3 linked regions of the Alligator mississippiensis genome follow. The protein of the gene in region 3 interacts with the protein of the main gene of each other region in a pairwise test. Links are inferred from orthologs where the notes say so. Each region holds a gene or a part of one and is shown on either strand. Other genes may lie near its edges. The genes, in order: HMOX2, YAE1 and CEP126.

Region 1 (10,509 bases), on a different chromosome or scaffold from region 3:
AAACAAAAAACAAAACATGAATGTGAGAAAACTTTCCCTAGTAAAACCATGAGGGATCAGTCACTCAAGCATGGCAGCTAGAATCTTGCTATATCATCTTCATTATCAACATTATTAATTATTATGTACTTGTCTAATAATAATCTCCCACAAAAATGTTCAAATGCAAGGAAGTAAGAGACCCTATGACACTTTAATCATAAGCAGTGCAGATCATTTTGTAATTGGTTCAAGTGAATCCTTTGGTTTGATTAAAAACCAAAACACTGAAGCCCACTGAGGAATCTAAACTCTCAGACATAACTAGTTTTAGCCATTTACATTAGAAAAGTAGCTGATATTGCTGCTAGATCATAAAGTTTGTCAACAGAACTCACCACTGTTCAAGCAGTCCTTGCCAATAATAATGCACTGGAATATTAGAAATTTGACAAGACCTATCACTAGCTGCTGTACTAATCAGTCTCATTACAGCAACACCACTGTTGCTCGGTCTCAAGCAATTTCCAGAAATAAGGCAGGTATAAGAAAGTCAGGCACTGTTTGTACCTTGTTAATGGATTACCATGGTTAGAAAACTAAATACATATCTAGTGCACCGTTGCCCCTGACCCAAATGGTTCAGTTTCACAGTGAACACATTCCTCTTTCCTATTTACACAGAAAGATAAAAAACAAATGAGTCATCATGTGACCAGTCAGAAAGCTGGTAGTGCCTCTAGTGTCTAAGCAGTTCTTCTCACACCAATACACCACTAAATCAGGCCAATTTAATTACTCCTTCCAACAGTTCTCGGAAATAAGCAAGTATTCTAATGGTCTAAAAGGAACAAACAGGTTAGTGATTTGCCAAAGGCCATACAGCAAATGTGTCAGAGCAGGAACTGAACATTTGCTGTATGGCCAAATAACAGGATTACTGTTTTGAGCCTCTGGTAACTTTGGCCAATCCCACAGAGGACCAAAACTCAGATCTAACCCCACTGTTCGAAAGCATACGAGCAAAGAGGAGCATGGAAGAAATATGCTCCTGGGCACTTGTGTTGCTAAACAGATTCTGACAAGTGGGGGGATGTTTTATTTTTTAGGCTCAACAATTTCAAACCTAAACTTCTTTATTCTTTGTATGACATCAGACTTAGATGTCACCAGCAGGTGAATCAGTGACAGCAAGTTCAACCCCAACAGCAGTGGGTATAGTTCTTGTCATCCATTTGCATCACCACAAGAGGACAAAGGCCCTCAGTGGTGTTACTGGTATTTATTTCTACCTTATAGCTGCATCTGAGTCATTCTCAGAATTTGCTTCAATTAGCTGCAAATCTCAGCCAAGTCCCTGAAGAAAAAAGAAAGTACACTTGGGTCTCTCTTTATGTGAATTCGTTTTGTGCAAATTCACTTATATGCGACAACCTTATTTATACCAGAAATTTGCTTTGTGAGAAAAATCCAATATTATGCGAAGTCAGCTGGCAATGAGCAGTCCCATCCTGCAGAGCTGGAAGGAAGCAGGAGGGAGGGGAGACAGGGGGCGCCATGTGCACGTAAAAAAAAAAAAAAAATGTATCCGCCTACTTTGGACACTGGAAGTACATGCACATGGCCCCTAGTCTTGAGGGCAGCTCCAGCAGGTAAGTGGGGAAGAGGGGGATTGAGGCCCCTGTAGGGAGTGAGCTGGGCAGGCCTGAGGTTGCTGTCCAGCTTGGGGGTGCTTGCAGCATGGGGCAAGCACCTTTTCCACACAGCCCCATTGTGGCGGAAGGCAGCAAGCAGCTGGATGCTTGGCTCTGTGCCGCTCCACCCGGCTCTGTGCTGCTGCTGCTCTGCCCCATGCCACAGGGCCCCCCCAAAGTGCGGGCCCGGGGCACTCACTCCGATTCCCACCTCCCTGGGGACGGCCCTGGTGATTACTGTTTGAATTGGTTATGTTTTGGGGGAGCAGTAGAGTGAGGCTGGTACGTATCCCTATTAATTATATGTAATAATGGATTCGCTTTATGCAAGGTATTTTTGGAATGCAACGCTCGCATAAAGAGAGACCCAAGTGTACCAACTGGAGCTGACAAAGGTATTGTTTCTTATTTTTTACTTTTAGTCCATGCTATTTTATCATCTCCCATTATGAAGGAAGTGAAGGGGTCAGTGATTCAGTAGATGAGGACTTGGCTTCTGCTCTTCCTTCACCGAGTTCACTTCCATGGACTAAGTCCACCTTTACACCCTCCCACCCCCTCATCCAAAGCCTTGATAATCTTAGCTAGAAGACAGCACAGGAAATCACCCTATTTTCCCCAAAGAGAAATTACTGCAACAACTTTCCCCCCGCAACATTTAGAAATTCCTAATAATCTTCTCCCATGGAACACAGTTCCTTACTTGTCAGTTCTCCAATTTGAAGCTCTGCCACGCAGAGATGTGGGGCAGAAAATTTTCCAGTGCTTTATTTTACCATGGAAAACTTTCCATTTCTAAAAATTCATTGTTTCATAAAATTCATTAGTAACAATGAATGGATGCCAATACAATATTAGGCAAGCTTAGCAGTTTCAAAGATGTAATTAATGTTTTTCAGGCGATTATCCCCAGGAAGTGTGAGAGAGAGTACATACATGTTTAATTGATTTGTAAACAGGAGGGTAAATACACTCACATAAGCCAAACCAAAAATCAAGGTATGAATTCACCTAATCAGCTGTGCAGGTCAAATCAAAACCACAGCACAGCATATCATGCACAGTTCTTTGGGTGTGCTCAAATTAGTGTGTCAACAGTTTTCAATGCCTTTTTTCCTTAAATTTAAACAAACAATGTCAGGGAAGCACATGCTATTGTGTATTGTCTTTACATTGTTGCTAGTATTGCAATAAAAATAATTTCTTTCTACATGAAGCTTTGAATTTGTTTGAATATAACATTTAAACCATATTAAGTGCACTATATTCAATTCTTTTCTTAATCAAATATTTCAGTTTAAATACTTGTGGCTATTGGGACATAAAATTAAAATGGGGTACTTTTTTAGTTTTGTTTACTAAATACACGTCAAATAAACATGCTAAATCAGATCACACTCTATTTAGGGCATTGGAAATTTTCCAATTCAAAATTTTCTGGAAAACCCACATCTCTGCTGTCATGTAGCAAGAAACCTTATATGCATTCAAATCCATTTTATGCTGCAGTACACAAGTTAACACTGAACTGGACCCAGTGATAAGTGTCAGTTCTCAACAAGGAAAGGGGAATAAAAGTTCCAATACAATATGCACAAAGAACAGTTCACAAAAATGGGCTCTCACTCGTAGTGTAGCCACAGGTTGGCTGTCTTTTAACATATTCATGCTAATACAAGAGCTTTGTATGGACAGCAGTAATGACAGTCATCGTAACAGCTACAATCAAGCACCCGCACAATAAGAAGAGGCCCAAATTTCAGTGGCAGGTAAAAAAAAAAGTTAGACTTCTGATTTCACCGGCAGGCCAACTGGAGTTCTTTAAACAATAATGATCAATGAGTAGGCCATGCATGACCACCAGTGAGGCTGGCCAACTCCTCATGTTTGGAATAAAAAATGGGGAAACAGGGCCCCACTACACATGCAGGTATAGACACAACTGGATCTAATGCAGGATCCACCCCATAGTGCATCGCACATTAGATCCAATCACACCTTATTGCTGGTATAGGGACAACTGGATCCTGGGCTCCTCCAACATCAGTACAAAGCAGGCTTCCATGGCTGGGAGTCCGCTTTGCTGATGGGGCTCCCAGCTACAGGGACCCCACACAGCTGGGACTGAGAGTCCTAGGTCTGATGGGGCTCTCAGTACAGTTGCATGTGGGGTGCAGCCGGGACTAAGAGCCCCGTCAGCTGCAGCCCTGGTGCCCCACAGCTGGGGGGTCACAATGGCGGGGAGATCGCGGGAGCTACAGTCTCCCAGCTGCTACCTGGAGCACCCCGCACCCCCGCAGCTCGGGGACCACGTTGGCTGCACCGTGCTGTGCTGCGCGGGCTGCCCAGCAGCTGGGAGCTGGCAGGGCCTGCGCCGAAGCTGGAGAGAAACCAGCTATAAAGTCATTACACATGTTCGAGCAATCACAGCGAAGGCGCAGAGGAGCCGGCCGGCCGGCCGGACACGGCCAGCTCCAGGCTGAAGGGCAGGGGAAGGGAAGAGCTGGGACCAGGCCCGAGGCCCGGCACAGCCGGCAGCGCCGGGCCGAGCCGAGCCGCGGGCGCTGCAAAGGGACCGGCCGCAGCACTGGGGCCCCCGCCGGGACGGTCGGAGCGGACCACGGGGCGGCTACACGGCGCCCGGCCGCGCCGGCTCCTGGAAGAGCGGCAGCCCCCGCCCCGCGCCCAACCCGCGGGTCGTGCGGCCCCGGCCCCGGCCCCGGCCCCGGCCCCGGCTCCCCTGAGCCTCCGCAGCACTCACCGCCGCTAGCGCAAGCGCCACCGCCCCCAGCGCGGCCGGAAGAGGCGGGACACGCGCCAGTCACCGCCGCGATTAGTTATCGCGAAGGGGCGAAGCCGCAGCGAACTCGTGAGTAAATAAAATGGCTGCGCCGACGAGGCCTCCCATTGGTAGCTGGAGCCGTGACGCAACAGAACCGGGTCCTGACGATGACCCCGGGCCGTAGAGCCTCACCCCCGTCTCATCCACGTGCCAGTGCACGTGCTCCCTCAGCGCGCGCCACCACCTCCCCGCCCGCTGGGGGCGGAGCGCCAAGTCCCGGCCCGAGGGGCCTTGCCCTCACACGGACCGAAACCAGTTGATAAAGTGCGGGGGACGAAGTCCCTGCTGGGCCCACTTCTCCCGTTTCTGCCCTTTACAGACGCAAGCACACGTGGCGTTAATCCAGGGAGAAACCATTTTATCTCAGGACAAAGTGACATGGCCAGGCAGACGGTTGTCTCTGTTGTCCTGGGATAAATCCTAAAAAAGGTTCCCCAGGAGATAAGAGTTGGTCAGAGTTTATCCCAGGATAACAGCATTGAATCAATGGCCGAAAAGCAGCAGTGCAGTCAGCGGCTCACCAAACCCTGGTTAGAAGGGTGATGTGTGTCCCAACCATCCCAAGAGATTTTTTTTATTCCTGGACAAACACAGGGTCGACTTGGACACAGACCAGGATTTGCTTTTTTGCTATCTTGTACACACACTGTCTGAGTGACACCAGCTGGGTTCTGTGGTATTTCTTATTCTGGGTTACATGTTGCTCCCTCAGGACCAAGTTGCTGCTCTGATGAGCTGCATGAAAAAACCCTGTGAACACAGACTGATTGGAGCACCTACCCTGGGCATGGGAACAGTGTGCCTGCCTGCCACAGTTTTCCTGTAAATGCAGAGCATGGCAGTTAACCCTCCAAGAGTGTCCTGTGCCCTCCAAGTCCAGTTCAAAACCTAGAAACTAAGGAAAGCTGGAGAAAGGAATCATCAAAGGTAGGCTGAGCAAATCCTCCACTTCTTCTGCTGTCTATCACAAAACAGAAGTAAAGCGGTAATTTGATTTGTGCAGCTCAGTTCTGAGACACTGCCAGTCACCCTGTAATGGTGAGACAGGGTGATGGTCTGCCTTCTGCAAGTAGGAAGAGCAAGCGCACAGTGTCCCTTTTGGTAGGGAAGAGATAGGACTTAAAAGTTCTGGAAAATTTCCTGGCAGATAGGAGTGACATTGGAAATAGGACTGGCACACTCCCCATGCCTCATGCCCTCATACATTAGATACAGAAACAGCTTCATTCCATTTCTTAGGAGTTCACAGACCAAGAATGCTATAAATGTCAATGTGGTTGACATTTAAAGCATTGAGCAAATAAATGCCAGCTCCTTGGTATAATGATCTGAAGTTAAGGTTTTTAAATAAAGTTGATTTGTGAATTTCTAAATAAAAAAAGCCTTTTTTATTAAAACTCAGTGCTTCATAATAATGACGCCCAGTGAAACCCACGCATCCACTCAAAACAGATTATCCAATCACATTTCCTCTAAATTTTCACTAGAAGAAAAATGTTCATTTGCAGCCCTTGCAGTAAAGATAACCTTCCAAGCAGGAGCCAGTAGTAAGTGACACTGAGTAGTCACAGGAGCTGTACAGAGGGCCACCAGAATAAACAGGCAGAATCTCCTTTCACTGCTCACTCCCCTCCTGGGCTTATCATCTTTATCACTCATTGCCAGTAGGGCTGTGGGAAATTTCACTGATTGTTTCGTTTCAACGCTGTTTCGACTTTTTTCAAGCTCAAAATAGCAAAATTGAAATGAAAGTCTTCGAAACAGCCTTGAAACAAAACGAGGGCACTTGAAATGTTTCAAGTTTCAAAGCTAGGCTTGCTTGCAGGGAAACAGAAACTAAGGAGTGGGAGGGGGAAGAGGGAAGGACTGCTCTGATATTGACTATGTAGCTGACCAGTGACTGTGATCCTTCCCTGAGGTCCCTTCCAATCCCAGTGCTCTGGGGGAGGGACAGAAAAACAGCTGCACCTTAACACACACGCACAGTCACAAGTCACAGGTTTTGCTTGTCAGCGGCTTGAGGTGCAGTTTCCCAGAAGCCCCTGCACCCTTCTCCTTGAAACTTGGCAGGCTCCGTGCCCTCAGCAGGGGCTACCATGCCTGCAGTTTTCACCTTGCTGTGCCTGAACACACACACGTGATAGAAGTCTTGCTTTCAAGACGTTGAGGTGCAGTTTCCCAGAAATCCCTGCACCTATCTCCTTGAAACTTGGCCGGCTTCAAAACGGGTTACCATCCCTGCAGGTTTCATCCAAATCAGGCCAGAAATGACAAAGTTGTAGGCTGTTCGAGCCTTCCCCATTATAGCCTATGGGCGAAACATCAAAACAGCGAAACAATTTCAACGAAACAAAGTGGAACAGTACCTTCGAAATGAAATGAAACAGCAAAATGGAAGTCAAAATGAAATGGTGCAGTTTCACACAGCTCTGCCAGTAAGTACTCTGGCAGTAGAGTTTGGTGCACACTGCCATCTGGTTGCCCTTACTGGTTAGATTACTTGAATTTTGATAATTGGGTCAACGTTTATGAACTAAAAAGGCTACTAAATGTCTGAAAGCACTGGGCCTGGATAACATCCATCCCGAACAATTCACTCATGTCAATTCAACTGTCTTAGACTGGCTATGTCATTTTATGACTAACTGCCTGTGACAGCCAGAACCAGAGGGATTAATAGCAATAATATGTGCTTGGAGGCATTTGGTATTTTGCCTAAACAGGTAATATTAGTTAATATAAGCTTGTAAGTTTGTAAACTGCAAATGTAACTTGTCTGTCATAAGTTTAACCAAAATGATAAATTAACTGTTCATGGAACTGACTGGGCCCCATAGGCAAAGCTGTAGCTGTGAGATTAGCTGGCCTAACGGTTTTTTGCTCAGGGTTCAGCCTTAGCAATAAAAACTGGATCTAACTGCTTTGCACACCCAACACGTTCCAAGAAAGCATATCCCAAGAAAGTATATTCAAATGAAGCCTAAAAGGGGTTGGGATTTAGGCGGAGTGATGTCAGTTTCAAACCTAAAGGTGCTGCATCATAATTTGCTTATTGGATAAACCCGAGTCTGGGTAGTAACCTTTTATGATAATTTTAACACCTTTCAATCCCATAGGGTAACAGCTATAGGGCGACATTGTGAATGGCCCTGAGGCCAACAGATTAATATAAGACTAGGTATAAAAAGCACATGCATCAGGTAACTAGCAGGAAGGAGGGAACAGAACGGTCATTTCTGTTCCATGCTCAGACCCCAGACGCCCGGTGTGAGTGAGGATTGGATCCTGATCAAGGGACCTTCCCCGGTAATCCCTCTAACAGCGTCAATCGTCAGGGACGCCTGACTTCGCTGGAATCACTTGGCACGCACCTGGCATTGAGGGACTGTCGATAAGTTGCCAACCCATGTGTGCCCGCCTCTGCTCTATCAGGTGTTCTCTTGCAGCCTTAGCCCGGACCATCAATCTTGTCTGTCCCAGGCCTGCGAGTGGACCCCAAAGGCTACCCCGGCTGACGTCCGGGGATCCCCTTAACTTGCCTGCCACGACTTTGAATGGAACCTCAGTGGAGGGGTTCCCCTTTGAGGCAGCCTCCAGGGTCGTCACGCCTCTCAGCGGGCATTCACAGGGCTCCGACCTCCCCTACACCCCGGCCACTTGCCACCTTTGGTTGCAGGTCTTCTGGCCCTTTGGCGTCCCTGGTTCCTCTCGGTTTCTTCCCCAGCCTTCCGTGGCTCTCCAGCCATGAGCCCCAGTGTCCCTGGGCTGCAGCTCAGGCGTGAAAGCTCTGAGGCCCTTGGTCCTAGATTTGGCTATCCTGTGTCCCCAGCTCCCTATTCCAACCACACCGTGACGCAACGTGCGATCCCCACCACCATGACTGCCGAAGAGCTGTGACCGGCGGGCCAGGAGGCCACAAAGGAATATAGAGTGCCCCTTAGTCTACGGGCCCTGTGTTTTCCCAGTGCCTCAGTGCCCCAGACCCGGTTGCTTGCCCCACTCGGGGCTCCTATCTCTCCCCTGCGCTTGACCCTGTCACAACCCAATTAAGCAGTGTCCATGCCACTAGCAAGAGATACCATTCAAAGCATTTTCACTCTGCACTGGAGTCAACTAAGGGTTAAAAAAGAAATTCTTGTTGGTAACAGCCTTCTTCGCTGTGCATGCCAACAAGAGATTTATAGCTGCGCCACTAATAAGAAATTAAACTTTAGCCTTCTGTGCTGTACATAAATCATTATAACTGGTCAGAGTAAAACAGGGAGTAGCCCTGCAACAAAACCCTAGAGGAGATCGTTATATAATTGGCGATTCTAATTAAATTTATGACGTGGCGAAAAACACTTGGCTATTACACAAATAAAACCCGCTTGCACTTCAGCAAAATCGGAGACCTCTGAACACGTCACAGAGTAAATTGATGAGCTGATCATTCATCAATCTCCCTGCTGCGACCTCCTAGGCGTACCCTTCACCTGCATGCTTGATAAGCCATAATCTGCCGACCACCGGCCCGTATATATCTGCAGACCGACCTAATGAACTCTAAGCTGTAACTAACTAAGTATCTCTGACCTCCGTCATTCACCACCTTGACAGCGTAAGTAAACAATCTTGCTTTGCAACCGATAAGCGTCCGTGCCTAATTCCACTCCAAGCGTCACAAGTACCCACCTGCTGGGCCCCTAAGGCCCCGGACCCCTCGCTGCAGTGCACGGCAGCAACAGATCCTACTCCGGGGATGGCGTCCCGGTTGACCAAGGTCCTATGGGTCCTGGCCAACTCTTCTTGGGGATGCTGTGGACCCATCTGTTGGCTCCCTTACTCCGTTAACCGTCCCTGCTTGGGGTCTTCCACCGCTCACTCAGCGGCTATCCCAGTTGGGGTTCCCATTGGCTCCGCCCTCATTACCTCTTCTTCTGGCTTCCCTGTAGTTGCTCCGACTTCCCCGGCACTCGTCTCCTCTTCTCTCCCCACTCACCGCTGCTCCTTTTGTCAGCTTCCCTGCCGGCTCTTCTGCCGGCCTCTCTGTCAGCTCCTCTGCTGGCTAGCCAGTTGGCTTCCCTGCCAGCTCCTCTGCCGGCTTGCCAGTCGGCTTCCCTGCCGGCTTGCCAGTTGGCTCCTCTGCTGGCTTCTTTGCCGGTGCCTCCACTGCCGGCTCCGCTACCGGCTTCTCTGCCAGCTTCTCTGCTGGCGCCTCCACCGGCTCCGCTCCTGGCTTCTCTGCTGGCTTCTCTGCTGGCTCTGCCCCCATCATCCCGAGCTGCGCAACACAGCAGCTGTGCCTTTTGGGCTGTGGACTTCTCCGTGGAGCCTCTGCTCACCGGCATTTTTCCTGTGCCCTCGGGGCAGCCTTTTGTTTCTGCTGGGTGGTGTCTCCAGCTGACGTCACCCGGCCCCAGCTGGATATGAGCACGGTTGACAAACCGCGTGGGCGGTTTCTCCGCGCATGCTTCCCCACTCCTTTCGGCCCCTGTAGATGGTAAGTTGGGGCTTTCTTCTATTTTGGCCTGGGGTTCTCCTGTAACCCCAGCACCCCTGGGACACCATGTCTGTCTATTTGTTGTTGTGAACAGCCCAGTGTGGCTAATACCCTCACAGTGCCCAGTTGGCCTGCAACAGATTGATCTATCTATTTGTTGTTGTTATCTGTTGTTATTATTTACTATTAGCTCTTTTATACTGTATTATCTGCTTATTGCATTTATCTTCCTGTTAACTGTTGTGTGTATGTAAGCTATAATAAATTTGCCTTTATTTCACTCCCAACTTTGCCTCCTTGATGCGAAACTGAATCAAACAGCCCAGTTGGCCTGTGATAAAATTGATACACTCACAGTGCCCAGCTGGCCTGTGACAAAATTGGCATCACGAACAGGATCAAGGATGGAGAGTACAGAGCGGAAGAATGGTGCAGAGGGGGCAGAGAGGTGGACCCTACTGATTGCTTTGATAGAAGAGGTTATGGGTATTAAGAATCCAGGGTGGGATAAA
Region 2 (9,662 bases), on a different chromosome or scaffold from region 3:
CATGAGGCCCCTTTCTCCCCTACTCTTTTTTTGGCACCATAGCTTACTACAGCATAGCATAACTACAGCTTAGCCTAACTGGAATTCCTACTGTACTTATTTAGCACTTTCCATTCTATAACCAAAGTATGCTTTACAATCACTAAAAGTCTGACAATACCCCAGTAAGCTGCTACTAATTTTATATGTTTGTGAACTGAGGCACAAGAGTAAGTGACTTGCATTGGTGATCTATATTAGAGGTCAGCAACCTATGGGCGGTAAGCTGGATCCAGTCCACACAGCAGGAGTAGGCAACTTTTTTGGCCGGAGTGCCAAAAACCCTGCAATATCTACCTTGTAAGGTACTGGAGTACTGGCATGCCAGGAAAACAAAACCAGGGTGGGGGAAACGTGGCAGGACACACTGAATATTAATACAGTTAATCATAGATTCATAGATTGTAAGGCCAGAAGGGACCTCGGAAAATCATTGGGTCCAGCCCCCTGCACCAAGCAGGAAAGATAACTGGGGGTCAAGTGACCCCAGCAAGGTGACTGTCCAGTCTCGTCTTGAAGATTTCCAAGGAAGGTGATTGCACCACCTCAGGAGGGAGCTTATTCCACAGTCTGGACACCCTGACTATGAAGAAGTTTTTCGTAATGTTGAGTCTGAATTGATCTTCCAGGAGTTTGTGGCCATCATTCCTGGTTTTCGCCTCCAATGCCCTGGTGAAGTTGCTCACCGAGCCCTTGATGATGTACTCCCCTAATGTAGTGGTGAACTGCTACCAGGTGCTCTCTCAGTCTTCTTTTTCTCAGGCCGAAGAGTCCCAAATCCCTCAGCCTTTCCTCATATGGCTTGCTTTTTAAGACTCTTCTTTGGACTCTCTTAAGCTTGTCCACATATCATCATAGATGTTGTTTGTTTTTTACAGTAAATGCCAGGTTTTCTAAAAATTCTATACCTGGTGACAATATATAAAACTTCATATACTACCTTTGTTGTTGTGTATTCTTTTTTTAAACATATTGTGATGAGAGAGAAAAAGAGAGAGAGGAAGAAAAAAGAGGGGGGAGAGAAAAGAGAAACCTGCTAATATTGTGGCAGGGGGCAGAGTAGGCCCTTGGTCACAGGGTCCTACCCCACTCCTACCAACACTACTCCTGTCTTCTGTTCCTTCACCCACTGTACCTTGGCCTTAAATGGTAGGAAGAACAGAGAGAGACAGGGGTTGACACCTGATTGTCCTTGGCCTTTACAGTGAGGCTTGGAAGATCACATCCTGGGTCTTCATATGCCACCCCTACACCATGCCCATACTCTCCAAAGAGATGTTGCCATGGAAAACGTTGGTTCTTTAAGGATACACTTACTTAATTCCTTAAAATAGATGCTCTGTATTCACTGCCATAAACAAGCAAAAATGCTCTCAAGTAAAAAGCTTTTCTTAGTGGCTGCCTTGGCCCTGCTTCTGACAGCTGAGTTTGGTGATGTTAGGCTGGTAGCTGGTTGTTAAACACAAACATGTATCCAAATGGTCAGTCATCAGATGGTTTCTCATAGGACCGAGTATGGTTTTCATTTGTGAAAACACGTGTTCACACCGATAAGTAGATCCAAAGACAGACAGCAAGGCAAAAGCTACTTATTTATTCATGCATACTTTTCAGGAAGGGAAGACCAACATAATGTAGTCTTGAGTTACCATTCCCTTTCATTCTCAAATTTACCTTGCAGTGATGTGAACTTCAGTGCCCAGATGCATGAGCTTTGAAAGTCAAGGAGTACCAATTTAAATCCTTCAGTGTTCATCCACTGAAAGTACCGCAGTTCAATATCACTTTCCCTAGTACTGTCCAGGTTCACAAGAAATGAAAATATGAGTCCTCTGTTGCAAAAGTCTTGGAAACATCTGGTGTACACATCTTCCAGCTGTCCTATGTAGTTGCACATATTCCTATTATTCAATTGATGCTGCTCGGAATGGATTTTCAGACTGGGGTAGTAACAGAAGGCAGACGTTTCGATATCTCATCTGAAAACAGACATCTTATCACAGAAAGCTTTCCAGTCGTCAGACAGCTGAAGGATGGTTTTCTGTGTTCCTTGTAACCTAGTATTCAAATAATCTAAATGTGATGTGATGTCTGTCAAAAACATCAGTTTTGTTAGCCACCTGTCATCAGTAAGGTCTGCATATTGCTGACCACTTTTTTCAAGAAATAACTAGGTGGATTCGAGACAAGCAACAAATCGCTTGAGCATGTTACCTCGACTCAACCAGTGTACATTACTGTGCAGCACTAAATCTCCATATGCAGAATCCACATCATTTAAAAGTTCACGGAATCCCCTGTGTGTCAAAGAGGAGCGGGCAATCAAAAAGCTGACATTTTCACACCACTGTCATGATTTCATTTAAATCAGAAGATGAAATCTTAGCGCACAGGCTCTCCTGATGAATAATACAATGGAAACTTATAAGAGGATGTCCAATCTAAGTTTCCAGAAGCTTTACAAATCCAACTGCTTTACCCACCATAGCAGGTGCACCATCAGTGGTAACAGAGAACACTTTGTGCAGGTCAGTTTGTTGCAGTGTGAAAATAACTTTGACAACATTAAGTATAACATTGGTCTTTGTTGTGCTTTGCATAGCATGCAAAGAAAACAATTCCTCCCAACTTCCCCAGAGACAAAATATCAAACAATTATAGCAAGATGCCGGATATCGTTTATAGACATAAACTTTCACCCAGTGCAAGGCTCATCGCATCACAAGCATGGAGGTCTCGAGTCACTTGTTCCCTAACATTAGTTGCCATTTCATCTATTTTAGCCTTTGAACAGTCCTGGATGACAGCGGCATTTCACCAGTATGAGCAATGATGTCTTATTGGCAAAATCCTCAGCACGTTTTAAGAAAGAATCCTTTAAGTTGTCTCCATCTGTAAAACACTTGCCTTTCCAAACTTTGTTTTTTTACTATCCATAGTTATATATTGATATGCCTTCTACCTGTAAAATTTCCTGAAGTTCACACAAACCGAAGGCAGCACAAACAATTTAAACAGGCAAACAGAAAGGAGAAAATCAGAAAGAACTGAATTATTTGAAGTACATGTAAATCTGGGTAAGTATTTCCAAGAAGGCAATCGAAGTGCAGAAAACACACACACACAAATGAGCAATATGTAGTGTTTAAATCAAGGAACGCAAAGCAGAGAGATCAAGATAAACAGAATACAAACAGTTTTAATAAAGTAAAAACCTGAAAAATATGAACTGGTTTAAGAGAATGAAAAACTGAATAAGAAATTATTTTCAGAGCAAAATAAACTGATTCATGTGAAGTGGCTTGAGAGAGAGCAAAAGCTGTATATAAGTCCATTTAACAGAGCAAAATAAGCTGATTCATGTGCAGAGAGAGCAAAAGCTGAATATGAATCAAAATAACAGAGCAAAATAAACTGATTCATGTGAACTGACTTGAGAGAGCAGAAACTGAATATGAATCCATTTAACAGAGCAAAATAAAGCTGATTCGTGTGCAGAGAGAGCAAAAGCTGAATATGAATCCGTTGAATAGAACAAAACAAACTAAACAGTACAAACTGGCTTGAGCGAGAGCAAAAACTAAGTCTGCAATAATTTAACAAAGCAAAATAAAATGGCATAATATGCAATCTTAAACTCTGTTTGCAGAATTGTTTTTTGTAAAAATATATGTCTATATGTATATGAGGTTATACATATCTATACTCCGAGTATCACTCCACAAAGAAAACCTTAACCCGTTACAAAAACCACACACATACAAAGGACCGTTGGCCACCTGGACCTATTACAATATCTGCCTTGCACGCTACACACACACATATACACAAACTGGTCTCTCAGACCAGGCAACCCCTTCCTTTCATCCCCACAGAAATCAGCACTAGTAGCAACAGGCTACTGAGTGAACTGCCGCCCAGAGCCACGTGCCTACCTCATATAACTGGAGGCTGGGTGCAGCTGGGGGCAGGGTCCCTGCACCCCCTAGCAAGTAACTTCATGCCACTCTCTTCTTTTTTTCTAAATAAACATCTCTCTCACAAGGCTGTTGTATATTGCCAATTAGTTTGAATAGTAAACTGAACATGTAAAGCGTTAAGTGTTGTTAAATGCTGATTCGTAAGGATGTTGTTTCATGAAGGTGATAAAACACTGGTGAGAGACAATGGCCACCTTTTACCCCTTTTTTTTAAAGCATAACATACTGTTGACATCAATGACAGATCATACTCCTAGCAACCAATATATAATAATTTAGCTATTTTGCCTGTCTCTAATCAACCTACTGTAGCATAAACAAGCAGATGTGAAGTATGCTACCACTGTTTCCTGATCTCACTGTCTCTGATTCTGGTAAGATGCTATCAACACCACCAGCTTTGTGACTCGTTCTTATGACAATCCAAAACTTTTCCTGGAATCTCTCTTTTCTACTTGGCAAGAATTGCATACATCTAGCCAAATTAGAAAGCTAATTTCTGAAAAACCGAATGCTTCTTTAGGCTTGCGCTTTTACAGTGCTTGTAAAATACTTGATTTGGGAGTTGTAATTCTTCCCACAAGTAACTTCCTTTCTTGTCACCTTCCTTACAGGAAGGCTACAGAGATGGAGTTGAGGCTGGAAAAGAATGTGCACTCCAGCAGGGCTTCAATCAGGGATACAGAGAAGGGGCCAAGATGATGAGGACCTGTGGCCAGTTCAAAGGAATTCTAAAGTAAGTTTTGAGACCATGATCTCTTTTTGAAATTCTAGCTGTACTATTATTCCAGTGCTAAGTGGTTTGGCACTTGGGTCAGTGAAAGACCCAAGTGCCAAACTCTCTCAGGTTGTGCTTAAAAGTTGGGCAGCACAACCTGAGAGAAATCTAGACTTCTGTGCTAGGCACCTAGGTGCTCCCTATACAATGCATGTAGAGACGTTGGCATCTCAGTATGTGATCCAAAACGGCCAGCATGCTCCAGCTGTCTAGAGGTAGCAAAGAAGAGACACTGAAGACAGGGAGAAAATCTAAAATCCCACCTTTTGGGGTTAGGTCAGAACTGCACGGAGGCTGCTATTCACTCGGGATCCATAGCGGGTAGACTTTCCTAAAAAAACCTGCCTACAGCCACTGCCTCTCTTACAAGCGGGGTGCTCACTGCTCGGGGCGGACGAGTGTCTGTCCCGCCTCCTCCCAGCTGTCCTGAGGGCACGTCACATCCGCCCCCTTCTGCCCCGCCTCTGAGTCTCCCGGCCCGGGGCGGGTGCGGAGAGCACAGACGGGGACAAGGGACCCGCCGGGTCGTGGTAGACGGCGCGTCCAGGCGGAGGGCGGCGCAGGAGCCGCGCGATGCTGCCCCAGCCCCTCCCCCCGAGGCGCGCATGCAGCTGCCTCAGGCCCGGGGCTCTGAAGACAGCGCCCCCGTTCGCAGCCTGCCCAGCAAGCTGCAGGCAGGGACGCCTTCTCCCGAGCCAGGCCGGGGTTCAACAGCCACTCCAGCACTTGTCCCGCCCTCTCTCCCAGGCCCCGCCCTGCGCGGCGCTACATGCGGGAGGGTGCCTGCTTCCCCCTGGGGGCGGGGCTGGACTGGGAGATGCCGCCCTCCCCGTGCGGCTGGGCCCAGCCCACTCCCGGCCCCGCCCGCGGAAGAGGCGGGGCCGCGAGCGCCTGAGCCGTCCCCACGTGAGTGCTAAGGCGCGCGCGCACCTCGGAGCAGGGGGCGGGGCCGGAGGCATAGGCCCCGCCCCCTTTGCGTGCTGTTTCCGACGGCCCGGGAAGAGGGGCGGGGTTTGAGCGCGGCCCCCTCCTTCCTGAAGGACCCAGCGAGCCGCCGGGCCCCGCTTGATACCACCGCCAGGAAACTGCTTGGGGTAAAACTCCTCGTTAGGAGCCGAGCACCCAGTCCCGCCGCTATTCAGTTAAATATAACTGTCCAGCACCGTGAAGTCAATCGGTCTACTTATTGCACACAAAGTTAAGGACACCAGTCTTGGCAGGATTAGAGCTTGAGGTTGTGTTTTGGTCCCCAAAACGGGCACAAATAGTATTGAGGACTCGGGTGTTGTTTCAGAGGAGCTGGAGACGGGGTAAGTGCTGGCAAAAGCCAACAAATTGAGATGCACAACGTAGTTTTCTTTGACACAATCTGCCTTGCTTCCTTTGACAGACATTGCCTGGCATCTTGATGCAATGTGAAAGTAAACCTGAAATTGGGATTACTGGTTTCTGAGGTTAGCTTTCCTCAAAAACCTGCCCTTCCTGCCTGGGGTTCTGACTTAGTGCTGGGGTGGAAGCTCTGTTTGGCATCTGACTGTACCTGTGGTGTTCCTAGGAGCTCCTGCTACCATGTCCTGGGTACAAGCTGCAGTCAGCAGGCCCAGAGAGGATGTATTCGATGAAGATGCTGATGAGATGCACCTCGTACAAAAAGAGTGGAAGAGCACCATGGAGAAAAGGATCAAGGTAATCTTTATCACCGTCATGATGTTTTCAGTAGCCTTTTAGCCGTTTTCTTTCCTACTGCTTAAATAATGCTTGTTTAAATAAGCAAAAGTGAGAATGGCTGCTTACAAATTAGGCCTGTGCGAAGCAGCAGGTATTCGATTCGGATTCAGCCAATTCAGAGGGACGGTGATTCGAGTTGCTGTCCTGATTCAATTCGGCCGAATTGGATCCAAAGATTGGGCGACAATTCAGAGATTCAACCGTAGACTAAACAGGCAGCAGTCCTCGACCATGCTGGCCACAGCTGCTTCCAGCTGATAAGTCCGTTGTGGTGGGCAGAGGTGGGAAAGAAGGGGCAGGGTGGGGGGCATGTAGATCAGTGCCCCCACAGCAAGGTGGGGATTGGGGTTGGGGCTGGGACTGGAGCTGGGGCTGGGACAAGCTGCCCAGTCGGGGCAGGGGAAGTGCAGGATGTGGGAGTGGCAGCACTTGGAGCAGGAGCTATGCCCTGCTGCTGTTTGCCCAGCCGGGGGGTGGGGGGCATGATGGAGGTGCGGCTCACTCTGGGCAGAAGGCACTGGGAGCAGGGGCTCTGCCTTGCCGCCGCTAGTCCAGCCAGGGGGGCGTGCAATGCAGGTGCAGCTTGCTCCAGGCAGAAGGCACTGGGAGTGGGGGCTATGCCCTCCTGCTGCTCGCCCAGCCGGGGCGGGGAGGCACAGGACCATGCCACTGCACTGCCTCGGACAAGTAGTGTGCAGTGGCAGAAGCTGTTGCAGCCTCCGTGTGCCACCTGGACAAGCCGCAGCTTCACCCCGCCATGCCTCGGCTGGGCAAGCAGCAACAGTGCATTGGGGTGGGCGAGTGGACCCGGATTGAGGAGGGGCCAGCGGCAGGGGCTGTGGGGAATTTTAGGGTTGCTGCAGCCCCCCCCATAGCCCCTACTTCTCTGCGCTCTGTGGGGTGGGCGGAGCCAGGGCTGCACTCTGGACTGAGGCTGGGGCTAGGTGCCAGGAGCACCGCCCAGGCCCTACCTACCCCACAGAGTGCAGCCTGGCAGCAGACAGCTGGAGCTAGCCTCCTGGAGCGCAGCCCGGCCCAGCCTACCCCACGCAGATCCAGGGGCACACGCCCGCTCCCATGCCCTCCCAGACCAATGGTGTCCAGTGGCAGGAGACTCCCGCCCCCTTACCCTGGCTGGACAGCTTGTCCCAGCCCCAATCTCTCCCTCGCTGTGGGGGCGTTGATATGCCCCCCACCCCATGCTCCTTTCCTCCCCCCTCTGCCCATCACAACAGACTTACCAGCTGGAAGCAGCTGTGTCCAGTGTGGTAGAGGACTGCTGCCTGTTTACTCTCCGAATTGGCGCTGGATTGAATCAGAGGCTTCCGATTCAATTTGGACCTTTTAATGGTGTCCTGATTCAATTTGGAGATTTGGCCGCCAAATCAGGCCAGATCTCCTCCGAATCAAATTGGCTACCGCAGTTTCGCACAGCCTTAGTAAAGATCATGATGGTTCAGTTTCTTCTGAGTGACTTGAAAACTGAACAGAATTAATGAAATGATGCCAAGTGGAACATATTTGAGATTCTTTTATTAAGAGACTGTCTGAGTATTCCTGAAAATCCAAAAATTTATAACCACAATCCTGAATGCTTAACTCTACCCCAGATTAAATATTCATACACATTCACTATTCAGTTACAGTTTATAATGATGGACTCTTGCTGCATAATTGTACGTAAATCTATTCCTTCAAATACTCATGGGCTTTCTGCTTACAAATTCCAGTGCATCAACAGACACACACACATGCTTAGTGGCAAAAATATGCAAAATCAGTCATGTGATCATTCACCTTTTTGATAGGGAACACCGTCATAGCAGAATTGTTGCTAAATATCTGCTGCATTCTGTCTTTAAAAAGGTGGGAACCGAGAGGTGTGGTGGGCTTGAAAAGTCTTCTAACCTCGATTTGTAGCTTTGCCACTGACCTTCTTTGTGGCCTTGGGCAAGTAACTTAATCTCACTCTCTCATCTACTTTTATAAAATAATAGACATCTCTCTCACAGGGGTTGTGTATAATGACAATTTATATAGTAAACTGAAAATGTAAAAGGTTAAGTGTTGTAAAATGCTGATTCATAAAGAAGTTGTTTCATGAAGGTGTTAGACACTGGTAATTGAGAGACAAGGCCCACCCTTTACTATTTTTTTTTAAGCATAACATGCTGTTGACATCAATGACAGGTCATACCCGTAGCAACCAATATATAATAATTTAGCTATTTTGCCTGTCTCTAATCAATCTACTGTAGCATAAACAAGCAGATGTGAAGTATGCTACCACTGTTTCCTGATCTCACTGTCTCTGATTCTGGCAAGAGGCTATCCACACTACCAGCTTTGTGACTCATTCTTATGACAATCCAAAACTTTTCCTGGAATCTCTCTTTTCCACTTGGCAAGAATTGCATACATCTAGCCAAATTAGAAAGCTAACTTCTGAAAAACTGAATGCTTCTTATGCTTGTGCTTTCACGGTGCTTGTAAAATACTTGACTTGGAAGTTGTAATTCTTCCCACAAGTAACTTCCTTTCTTGTCACCTTCCTTACAGGAAGGCTACAGAGATGGAGTTGAGGCTGGAAAAGAATGTGCACTCCAGCAGGGCTTCAATCAGGGATACAGAGAAGGGGCCAAGATGATGAGGACCTGTGGCCAGTTCAAAGGAATTCTAAAGTAAGTTTTGAGACCATGATCTCTTTTTGAATTTCTAGCTGTACTATTATTCCAGTTCTAAGTGGTTTGGCGCTTGGGTCAGTGAAAGACAGAAGTGCTTAAAAGTTGGGCAGCACAACTTGAGAGAAATCTAGACTTCTGTGCTAGGCATCTAGGTGCTCCCTATACAATGCATGTAGAGACGTTGGCATCTCAGTATGTGATCCAAAACGGCCAGCATGCTCCAGCTGTCTAGAGGTAGCAAAGAAGAGACACTGAAGACAGGGAGAAAATCTAAAATCCCACCTTTTGGGGTTAGGTCAGAACTGCAGGGAGGCTTTGCCATTCACTTGGGATCCATAGTTGGTATACTTTCCTAAAAAAAAAAACAAAACCCAGGTGTCTATATTTTTTCCTTTCCATAAACTGAGTGGTGATGGTGCCTATGCTCATCACACTGTGTAATGTCCTATTGGA
Region 3 (10,356 bases):
AGAAAAGTTTATTAAAGAGGCCATCCTTAATGGACTGGCCGACGCCAACATCTTAAGGGATAGCCAGCATGGGTTTGTTGCGGGTAGGTCTTGCTTGACCAATCTCATTTCCTTCTACGACCAGGTGACCTATCACCTGGACAAGGGAGATGAGATTGATGTCATATATCTTGACTTCAAAAAAGCCTTCGATCTGGTGTCCCATGATCGTCTCTTGGAGAAACTGGCCAATTGTCGCCTTGGGTCCTCCACGATCCACTGGCTGGAAAATTGGCTCCAGGGTCGGACCCAGAGGGTAGTAATTGATGGAAGTCACTCATCGTGGTGTCCTGTGACCAGTGGGGTCCCCCAGGGCTCTGTCCTTGGACCCATACCGTTCAACATCTTCATTAATGATGTGGACACTGGAGTCAGAAGCGGACTGGCCAAGTTCGCAGATGACACCAAACTTTGGGGCAAAGCATCCACACCAGAAGACAGGCGGATGATCCAGGCTGACCTGGACAGGCTCAGCAAGTGGGCGGAAGAGAATCTGATGGTGTTCAACGCCGATAAATGCAAGGTTCTCCACCTTGGGAAAAAAAACCTGCAGCATCCTTATAGGCTCGGCAGTGCTATGTTGGCTAGCACTATGGAAGAAAGAGACTTGGGGGTCATCATTGACCACAAGATGAACATGAGCCTGCAATGCGATGCTGCGGCTAGTAAAGCGACCAAAACGCTAGCTTGCATCCATAGATGCTTCTCAAGCAAATCCCGGGTCGTCATTCTCCCCCTGTACTCGGCCTTAGTGAGGCCGCAGCTGGAGTACTGCATCCAGTTTTGGGCTCCACAATTCAAAAAGGATGTGGAGAAGCTTGAGAGAGTCCAGAGAAGAGCCACGTGCATGATCAGAGGTCAGGGAAGCAGACCCTACGATGACAGGCTGAGAGCCCTGGGGCTCTTTAGCCTGGAAAAGCGCAGGCTCAGGGGTGATCTGATGGCCACCTACAAGTTTATCAGGGGTGATCACCAGTATCTGGGGGAATGTTTGTTCACCAGAGCGCCCCAAGGGATGACGAGGTCGAATGGTCACAAACTACTACAAGATCGTTTCAGGCTGGACATAAGGAAGAATTTCTTTACTGTCAGAGCCCCCAAGGTCTGGAACAGCCTGCCACCGGAGGTCGTTCAAGCGCCTTCATTGAACACCTTCAAGATGAAACTGGATACTTATCTTGCTGGGATCCTATGACCCCAGCTGACTTCCTGCCCTTTGGGCGGGGGGCTGGACTCGATGATCTTCCGAGGTCCCTTCCAGCCCTAATGTCTATGAAATGTCTATGAAAAGGATGAGATTATGCTGTTTATCAAATTACTAAACTGCACAGCTGCAGCAGCAGTACTGTAACAGAAAACTAAATTGGTGTCTTATCTTTCAATTGAGGTTTAGTTTATTATTCTTTCCCAAAGGTCACTGCTCAGATTATCTGTTTGACCACTCATAGCCAGCTCTACGACCTTTGCAGTTTTTCTTTACATTTTTAAATATTTGACCTCAATCACTTACACAATGTGTAATGATGACATTTAAAGAAACTGCGACTCTGTCAAATAACTTTGTGTTCAAGAATACAGCTTATTTTTTTAAGCTATATCTACCATTTCCCTTATGAATTACTGACAGAACTCAGTATTTCACACAGCATCACATAAATCACCTATGCCATTTAGTACTGTGGCACTTAAATGAATGATTCAAGATATATAATTGAAACATTATGGTGAAATAGTAGAATATTCATAAGCACCTTTTCAAATATTCTCTCAAGAGGCCTTCATTACTACCTATTTCGGTATAAAAAGGGCTCAATCCCGTATTTGTTGCCTACCCAAAGCTCCCACTCATTGGGAACACAAGGAATGAAAATCAGACCCACAAGTAAATTGTGATAAACAAAGCTAGCTACTATGGGTTTTTAAAATAATGAGCAACTCTGGACTGTACTCACACAGTTCTTTTTATATTTTGGATGTCCTATAGCAACCAAAATTAATGAACCCTTAAACTCTGGATTCCCTTGGAATGAAGCAGTGCTATTATTTAAGTCCATAAGTTATTAAGATGAGGTTACCTTCTTCTTCTATTTGTCTCTATAAAATATTTTCGTGCCCGACTTCGATATATTTTTTGATCCTCCAGTAATGCTTGACGCTCTTCTTCTAAATCTCTTCCAAGATGAAACATTACGGTTCTATTAATATTTAGTTAAGGAAGTTGTAGCTAAAATCTTGGAAACTCCTAGTCATTATTCTTACTATGTACTAGACTGATTAAAAAACAAGCTGTAATTCTCAGGTATAGACTAAAAATAGGATTCTTTCTGTTTGCATGGATTTCATTGAAGGACTGGTGCTTTATTACGTACCTTTTTGAGAAGTAAATTGTATTCATGAGCAACAGAATGTGGATATAGAAAAGGTATTATCACAATGTACACGCATAAAGAGTGTAATTCCATCTCTCAGCTTCTATGACCGTAACAAGTTGCTGGGGCTTTACACTTATCATTTAGTTAAAGTGCCCCATGCCACCATTTTGAAGAGCGAAGACACTCAATACATGAGATGCCAAGGCTGCTGGAGCATGCTAATTAGCCCACTCTAGTAGATTTGATTAATCTGCTGTAATTACAGTGCGTCTGAACAGACATGTCTATATACCTCTTACTGTTTAATCTCATCTTTACATTCTAGATAATGAAACACTTGGGTCAGGAATGAAGAGTTTTTCTGAATCTTGTTCACAATAGAAACAACAAGAGCAAATAAACTATAATGTAAAAATCACACAATGTCCTTATGATCCAACACTACAACAAAGGTTATATTAAAAGTCCCAGGACTAGAGAGATTAGAGTAGGGAAACAAATATAAGCTTTTTAAATCAGGCATATTTGGTAGTACTAAACAAGTGCACGCAGCAGCATCGGGACAAGCAAAGGGTACATACAAAGAGCATATCCTGCCATCTAATCCCGTTCAGAGCTCAGCAATACAAATGCTGAGACATGCCAGCACCTGAGCTGCATGTCACCGCCACCACACGTGGGTACGCATTAGCAGTACAGCAACAGCAAAGTATTTCTCCAGCACGGCCAGCGTAATTCCCGGACCGTCGCAGCTACAACCGTCCTCTAAAAGTCCCCAAGCTTCTTCAGTTCTCTACTGTACAGAGAGTAACTCTGTGAACATCGCCAGGGGTCTGCAAGGCGTGAATCCTCCCAGCCTCACCTACCAGGGCAGGAAGCCAGGTCACCCTGTGAAGATGTGGCCCTCACTGGCCTGGCCCAGTGCTATACCCCCGTGAGCTCAGTACTACCTACAACACGCAACAATATTCCAGCGGGGGAACTGAACAGTCCCTCCGTTTTAAGCAGTAAGGAGCGCAGCAGCGCCCAGGGCCGGATGGGCAGCGCCCGCTCTGCCTGGGGGCCGGATCTGGTGGGTGCCCCGAGTGGGGGTATGGCTTGGCCTGTGGGAGAAAGGGGACTCGGCCTGGCTGCAACCTGCGCAGGGATTAGGAGCACCTGTTGGAGGTCGAGCAGGGCCCTGCCCCTGCCCCGACGGCCAGTCCCGTGCAGCCGCTTGCCCCCCGGGGAACCCCCTCCCCCCGAGCCCGCCCCATTCCCCCGGCCCGCAGAGGATACGCGTGGGCGGCGGAGGGGCCGCATTGGGCCTCCGCTGCGAGGCTCCTGCTGGGCTTCATCACCCGCGAGCGGTCGCTGCCTTCCCCGTCCGCACTGCCGGCCCGGCGGGCGCCCCAAGGGCGCAGGCCCCTGCGCCGGCCGCCGCCGCCATCGCCATCCCGGCAACAGGCGACGCCGCTGCCTTCGCAACGGGAACCAGGGGCGGGGCCTGGGGCCGGGCGCGGCAGCCGCGCATGCGCGGTGGGGCGGCGGGCAAGTGCTGGGGGAGCGAGCTGGGCGCGGGGCTCCTGCCTGGCGCAGCGCCGGGGACAGAGGGATGGCGGGCCCGGGGCGCGCGGGGGCACGAGGCAGAGCAGCAGGTCGGGCGGGGGAAGGGAGTGGGAGCGGCGGCCCGCCCGAAAGGTGGATCGGATCCTCTCTTGAGCTCCTTGCGACCCTAGGAGCCCCCAGGGATCCTGGCTGCCATTCCCAGCAGGCCAAAAACGTATTCGTGCCCCCCAGTTTATGTAGTGGTTGGCGTGGATAGGGAGCCGTGTCATTTGGCATAAATGGGGAGCTGTGTCTTGGTTGGCGAGGATGGGTTGGCATGGATGGGGGGCCTTGTCTTGGTTGGTGGGGATGGGTTGTCATGGATGGGGGGGCCGTGTCTTGGTTGGCGTGATTAGGGAGCTGTGTCTTGGTTGGCGTGGATAGGGAGCCGTGTCTTTGGGCTTTGGGTGCAGAGGAGTGCGAGGTGAACCGCTGCTGCTATAGCTCCATTATTTAGGGACAGGCCTGTTTACTACTTTCATGGGATTGTGCACCCCTGAAAGGCCATGGAGAAAATAACTAAACAAACAAAAAGAAGGCGGGTTGGGAGCAAGGTTGCAGTTTCAGAAGCAGGGATCCAGAAGGGGACCTGGAGCAGAGTGCACTGTCCAGCACCCACTGCCCCCTGAAAGAGACAACGGAGCCTGCAGACACCAACTAGCAAAACTCCTCGTGGAGATGTGTGTGAAGGAGTGAGAGGAAGACAGACAACCTCACGCTCATCCAGGTTCCCCATGGTCAGAGCCTCCTTCATGGTCTGCTCGATGGCCAGCTTAACCAGAGCCAGAAGGAGGGTTGGCCAGGAGGTCCTGGAGCTTGGTGGGGCTATGGATGGGGAGGATATAACAGAGAATGTGCGGGAAGAAGAGCAGCCATAGCAGGAGGTTTTAGTGGAAGCAGAAAAGGGACTGCAACCTGGGGTACTGGAGGTAGGCGTGTGCCAGTGTCTGCCTCTTTTGGCAGAAGTGTCAGGGGTGTCCCTAAAGCACGCCACATATATGCCCCTGTTGACCGCTTAAAGGAGGAGCTGCCAGCTGAGGTCTCTGAGGAACTGAAGTAGTTCTTGGGATTCCTTTAGGGCAGGGGTGGGAATGATTTTGGGCAGAGGGCCACTTAGTGAGTTTTGGCAAGGCATTGAGGGCCACATGACAGGCAGCCAGGGGCAGATAAATATTAACTTTTTAAATTTTTAGGTGCCCCACAGGCCGGATAGAATAGCCTGGTGGGCCGCATCTGGCCCATGGGCCGCAGTTTGCCCACCCCTTCTTTAGGGACAGGAAGCAGGCTACTCTCAGCTTTCCAGCAACACAAAAAGAATAGGGAAATGACCCAGATCATCTAGTAATAACTGGTGTACTGAACCAAGGATGTTAGACATAGTCTGTGGGCTGGATCTGGTCTGCAGCATATTCTGGCTGTCTGGTCCCTGGTGATGTCCCCTGGGTCTGATCAGACCGATACAGGACGTGGCATGGGACCCTCTCCCCTTACCCCAACATACCTGATCTGGAAGTTGCTTCAGCTAGTCTCGGACCTATACTGTGTGCAGCGTGGATCCTGGTGTGTACATGCAGGGCAGGTCCCTGACCAGCTGAAGTGGGTACTGCGTGTGGTGCAGTCTGGCTGGGGTGGCCACTGTGTGTCATTTCAGCCAGACTGCACTGCATGCAGCGCCCATTCCAGTCACTCCAAAATCTGTGCAGCATGCAGTATGGGTCCCAGACAGGCTGGAGCAATCACCAGATTGGGTATACTGGGGGAGAGGGATGGGGTACCTGGGACAAATATGTCCTGCGGACCAGTCCTATGCCAGTCATCTGGTCTGCAGGGCAGGGTGAGTTTGACATCCCTACTGTAAGTGATGAGGGACAAGTCGCCACAAGATTTTAATGTAGGGGCTACCTTGTAAGAAATAATAGTGTTTGCTTCATTGCTCACTTTTATGAAAGGAGCCTACAAGATAGTTTCATAGTTGTAGGGTCGGAAGGGACCTGAGCAGATCATCAAGTCCAACCCCCTGCCATGGGCAAGAAAAAATGCTGGGGTCAAATGACGCCGGCTAGGTGATTATCCAGCCTCCTTTTGAAGACCCCCAGGGTAGGGGCAAGCACCACTTCCCTTGGAAGTTGGTTCCAGATCCTAGTCGCCCTGACTGTGAAGTAGCACCTCCTGATATCTAGCCTGAATCTGCTCTCCATCAATTTATGGCTGTTATTCCTTGTTACTCCCAGTAGTGCTCAGGGGAACAGGGACTCTCCCATTGCCTGCTGGTCTCCCTTGGCCAGTTTATAGACGGCCACCAGATCCCCTCTCAGCCTTCTCTTGTGGAGGCTGACCAGGTTCAGGTCCCTTAACCTCTCGTAGGGCCTGCCCTGCTGCCCCCTGATCATGTGAGTGGCCCTCCTCTGGACCTTCTTGATGCTGTCCGCATCCCTCCTGAAGTGCAGCACCCAGAACTGAACGCAGTACTCCAACTGGGGCCTGACCAGTGTCGCATAGAGGGGGAGGATCACCTCCTTGGACCTGCTCATGATGCATCTGTAGATGCATGACAAGGTGTGGTTAGCCTTCCCGACTGCATCCCCACATTGGCGGCCCATGTTCATCTTGGAGTCTATAATGACTCCAAGATCCTTTTCTGCCTCTGTGCTGATGAGAAGGGAGTTCCCCAGCCTGTAGGTGTGCTGCTGATTCTTTCTCCTTGGGTACAGTACCCTGCACTTTTCAGTATTGAATCCCATCTTATTCTCATCCGCCCACTCCTGTAACCTGTCCAGGTCCAATTGCAGCCTGTACCTCCTTTCTAGTGTGCTGACTTCTCCCCACATCTTAGTGTCATCTGCAAATTTGAACAAGGTGCTTTTCACCCCCTTGTCCAAGTTGCTGATGAAGATGTTGAACAGTGCGGGCCCGAGGACTGAGCCCTGGGGGACCCCACTGCCCACATCCCTCCAGGTCAAAAATGACCCGTCCACCACCACTCTGTGGGTGCGGCCCTCCAGCCAATTGGTGACCCATCTGACTAGGCATCGACACCACAATCTCCTCATTTTTTAATGAGAGTGGAGTGAGAGACAGTGTTGAAGGCCTTCCTAAAGTCTAGAAAGACTACGCCTACCGCAACACCTGCGTCCAAGGTTTTTGTGACCTGGTAAAGATTCGGTTGATATAATCTGATCATATCAAACTTGACAGATTTTATTAGGTTCTAATTGTTAAAACTGAAGGATCGTACATTTTACAATTAGTTTTGTTTCTTTCAAAATAAACAATTTCAACGATTGTTAATAATGGGATGCTGATGGCAACTGGTGTCATTAAAATAGATAGCACTTCTCTTTTTAACTTGTTTTTGATTGCTTAGAACTTCAACTTTACCAACCCCTAATCATACAGGTTAAATACTTTCATTTGTGTGTTCTTTCTCAGATTTATTTATTTGCTTTCAACAAAAATGATTCATCTTTGTTTTAGAATGAAGTTAAGGGAAAACAGTGTTAAAACTGCTAAACCATTTTTCTGACTGTTTGAGGAAAAGTGTCTCAGACTTTTTATCAGCAACTTAACATTTGTCGAGAGAGGCTCTATTCCTGTTTCCATAAAAACCCAGCCAGGGATTGTGGCTCCAGTCATGAATACAGGCAAAATGAATCATCTTTCCTTTAATCCTGGAATTTCCTAACCTCTTAGTGTTTTATTTTGTAATGTTAATGATGTTTTCATTAACTTGTCTTTTACATGTAATACGTTAGAAATATCAGATAATTAAAGTACATTTGTGACTGAATGTCTTTGTAATGCATATGTACTGACAAGCATATCTTGAATGACTGCCAACTGATTATTGAACTGTTGTTAATTGATGAGCTTTATTTTTCAATGTTTCTTAGTCTGAAACAGGGCATTGGGTGTTTTGCCTGAGTGAAGAGTAAAGATCAATTCCTAATCATTCATGGGCTAGATCAAGGCACCCTAGAGTGCCTTGAGATCCTTTCAGGTGTCCTGTGGGATTTACAGCGATGATCCGTCAGGATTGAGGATGACCACTCCCATGGATCAACTAAAGGATTGTAGATAAGTCAGTTTGGCTAAGATCCCTAGAGTCACAGACTGGCAAATGCCACAGGCGGTGGTTACAAGGAGGGTCAAACCATGGATTTCTTGGTCTTGTTTCCTTTCCTTCCATTTCTGTTGTTTATCTGTCTCCAGGGCAAGATGGTTTTCCTCAAAGTAAGCCACATAGACCTGTCCCAGGCTAGTTTTTCCCAATTTGTGGTGTCAATGCCACCCTTCTTAATGTTTGCCTTGAGGGTGTCCTTGAAGCATTTCCTCTGGCCCCCATGTGTCCTTTGTCCTTGCCTGAGTAGGAAGCATAGCAGTTGTTTCAGCGAACGTACATCAGACATGCGCACACAGTGCCCTGCCCACCACAACTGATGTTGAATAATCAACACGTCCATACTGGTGGCATTGTCATCGGTGAGGACACTGGTGTGATGATCCTCCTACTTTATGCCAAGGATCTCCCACTGGTGATAGCACTCCAGGCTTTTCAGGTGTTCCCTGTAGGTCACCCAAGCTTCACAGCTGGGTGGGATTCAGTACAATGTTAGCAGTATTAGGTGTGTAAAACATGATTCACAAGATAAACCTAGAGATTTTAAATAGGAACCCGCTGCGTTAAAAGCATTCTGACCTTTTGTGGTCTTTCTGAGTTCTTAGCAACAGGAGAATTGCTCTATTATTTTTCTGCAGTCTAAAATCAAATGCAAACTAAGAGCTGACATTTTCCAATGGGAGTCTTGACTATAGTGAGAGGAGCCTCAAGTCTAAAATGTTGAGAACCATTGAGCTAGATTATAGGTTTGTTGCCCTGCCCTGCCCTACAAGAGCAGGCCACTTTTCTGTTTTTGCCAGGGAATTAATCTGCTATGGCCCTTCATCGTGTTGCAGTACTTCTCTGTGAGTTCCACTCGGCCATGCTGCATGGAATGAGGAATGGCAGACTCAAGGATCTGACTCGTTCCTTTTTCACCTGTGTGCACGTGTCAGGATTGGGATGTGAGCTGAATCCAGGGCTACAGCTTGAATCCAGGTGCTGAAATCATGATCAGGGACAGGCCAAGGTCCAGAAGCCAGGGTTAGGAAGTCACAGGTCACACTTGGCCAGGATCAGAGTGAAGAATGATCCCCGGGTCAGAAGCTGAGGGTTACAATTGGGAGGAAACCCAAAGTTGGAATCTGACACAGTTACCAGAAGAGCAGGGGCCAGCGTCAAGGCCAGGTACTAGGATCAGAGTAGTCTCTGACCTGCTGGTTTTAAGGCTGGTATTAGGGAGGAATTGGTCTCCTGTCATCACTGTCTAAGTAATGATTGCCCACCAGAGGGATGACTCATCCTGAGCTTGAATCATGATTCATACAGCATGGAAGGAGGCACCACATGGTTTCTGCAGGCAGCTAGCACACTTCCACGTGCTTGACTAAAATACGAACAAAAAAGTTATTGGTGTCTTTCAGTGTCATATAGAGATGCTGTGAAACCATTTATAACAATTGAAGGTCTCATTTTGGGTGATACTGAATATTCCAAGCTGCCGTTGACTTAGATGAGCATCCACAACTCTCATGTAAGATTCAGTTTCCAAATCCAGGTACTTTTTGGGTGTGAAATTTTTATAGAGCTTATAATTAAGGCTTCATGCTTTTAAGTGTTCATTTTTTCCTGTTTTTCAGGTTTTTACATATACTATGACCATATAGCAAAGGGAAAATACTTTTTTTCTTAAACTATTTTAAAAGTTGGCCCACTCTCATTCGCTTTATTCCTAGAGATATGTCAAACTGAGCTTGAGAGATCTCTAAAATCTATTACTGGCCTCTAAAAAAATTTCAACATAGCACAGATGAATTACTTTTTATAGACACATAGTCTCAGACCTTTTTTTTTTTTTTTAAAACCACAGTGTGTAGTTATCATTTTTAAGTTAAAACCAGAAACCTACATATTCTGGAAGTGCTTCTTCAGCACTGCTGGTACAACAATACAGTAGTTTCATTTTCAAGGTAAACACATTTAAAATGATTAAGATGCAGATTAACTATTTTTTAACCAACCTGATCCACTCAGTTCATGTTCAAATGGTAACATATATCAAGACCTAGCACAATCTAATTAAACTAAAGTGTTAATATATTTAGTTCTGTGTTATGGGGTAATATGAAGTACTTGCTTGCAGGGTGAAAACAATGAATTATATGAGATGCAACAATCTGTTGTGTAAATAAAATATGTTTTATTAAATCCAGGCATAAAAGGATACATGTGTTGGCTGCTGTTTATGCTGTAAGCATTCCC

Evidence for each region.
Region 1: the proteins of CEP126 (region 3) and HMOX2 interact in a two-hybrid assay, tested with the Homo sapiens proteins (2 studies listed by BioGRID and IntAct). The link is inferred for Alligator mississippiensis from reciprocal best matches to the Homo sapiens genes CEP126 and HMOX2.
Region 2: the proteins of CEP126 (region 3) and YAE1 interact in a two-hybrid assay, tested with the Homo sapiens proteins (2 studies listed by BioGRID and IntAct). The link is inferred for Alligator mississippiensis from reciprocal best matches to the Homo sapiens genes CEP126 and YAE1.

The regions. Positions count from the first base shown.
Region 1 is NC_081836.1:23,781,874-23,792,382, forward strand, and holds the start of HMOX2 (heme oxygenase 2), read right to left. Parts: upstream 4,544-10,509; 5' UTR 4,435-4,543; intron 1-4,434.
Region 2 is NC_081828.1:124,881,533-124,891,194, reverse strand, and holds the start of YAE1 (protein YAE1 homolog), read left to right. Parts: upstream 1-5,750; 5' UTR 5,751-5,891; exon of another isoform or gene 5,892-6,107; intron 6,108-6,187; exon of another isoform or gene 6,188-6,251; intron 6,252-6,352; 5' UTR 6,353-6,366; coding exon 6,367-6,483; intron 6,484-9,084; coding exon 9,085-9,206; intron 9,207-9,662. UniProt on the Homo sapiens protein: The complex LTO1:YAE1 functions as a target specific adapter that probably recruits apo-ABCE1 to the cytosolic iron-sulfur protein assembly (CIA) complex machinery. May be required for biogenesis of the large ribosomal subunit and initiation of translation.
Region 3 is NC_081824.1:442,060,805-442,071,160, forward strand, and holds the start of CEP126 (centrosomal protein of 126 kDa), read right to left. Parts: upstream 3,889-10,356; 5' UTR 3,749-3,888; coding exon 3,690-3,748; intron 2,235-3,689; coding exon 2,115-2,234; intron 1-2,114. UniProt on the Homo sapiens protein: Participates in cytokinesis. Necessary for microtubules and mitotic spindle organization. Involved in primary cilium formation.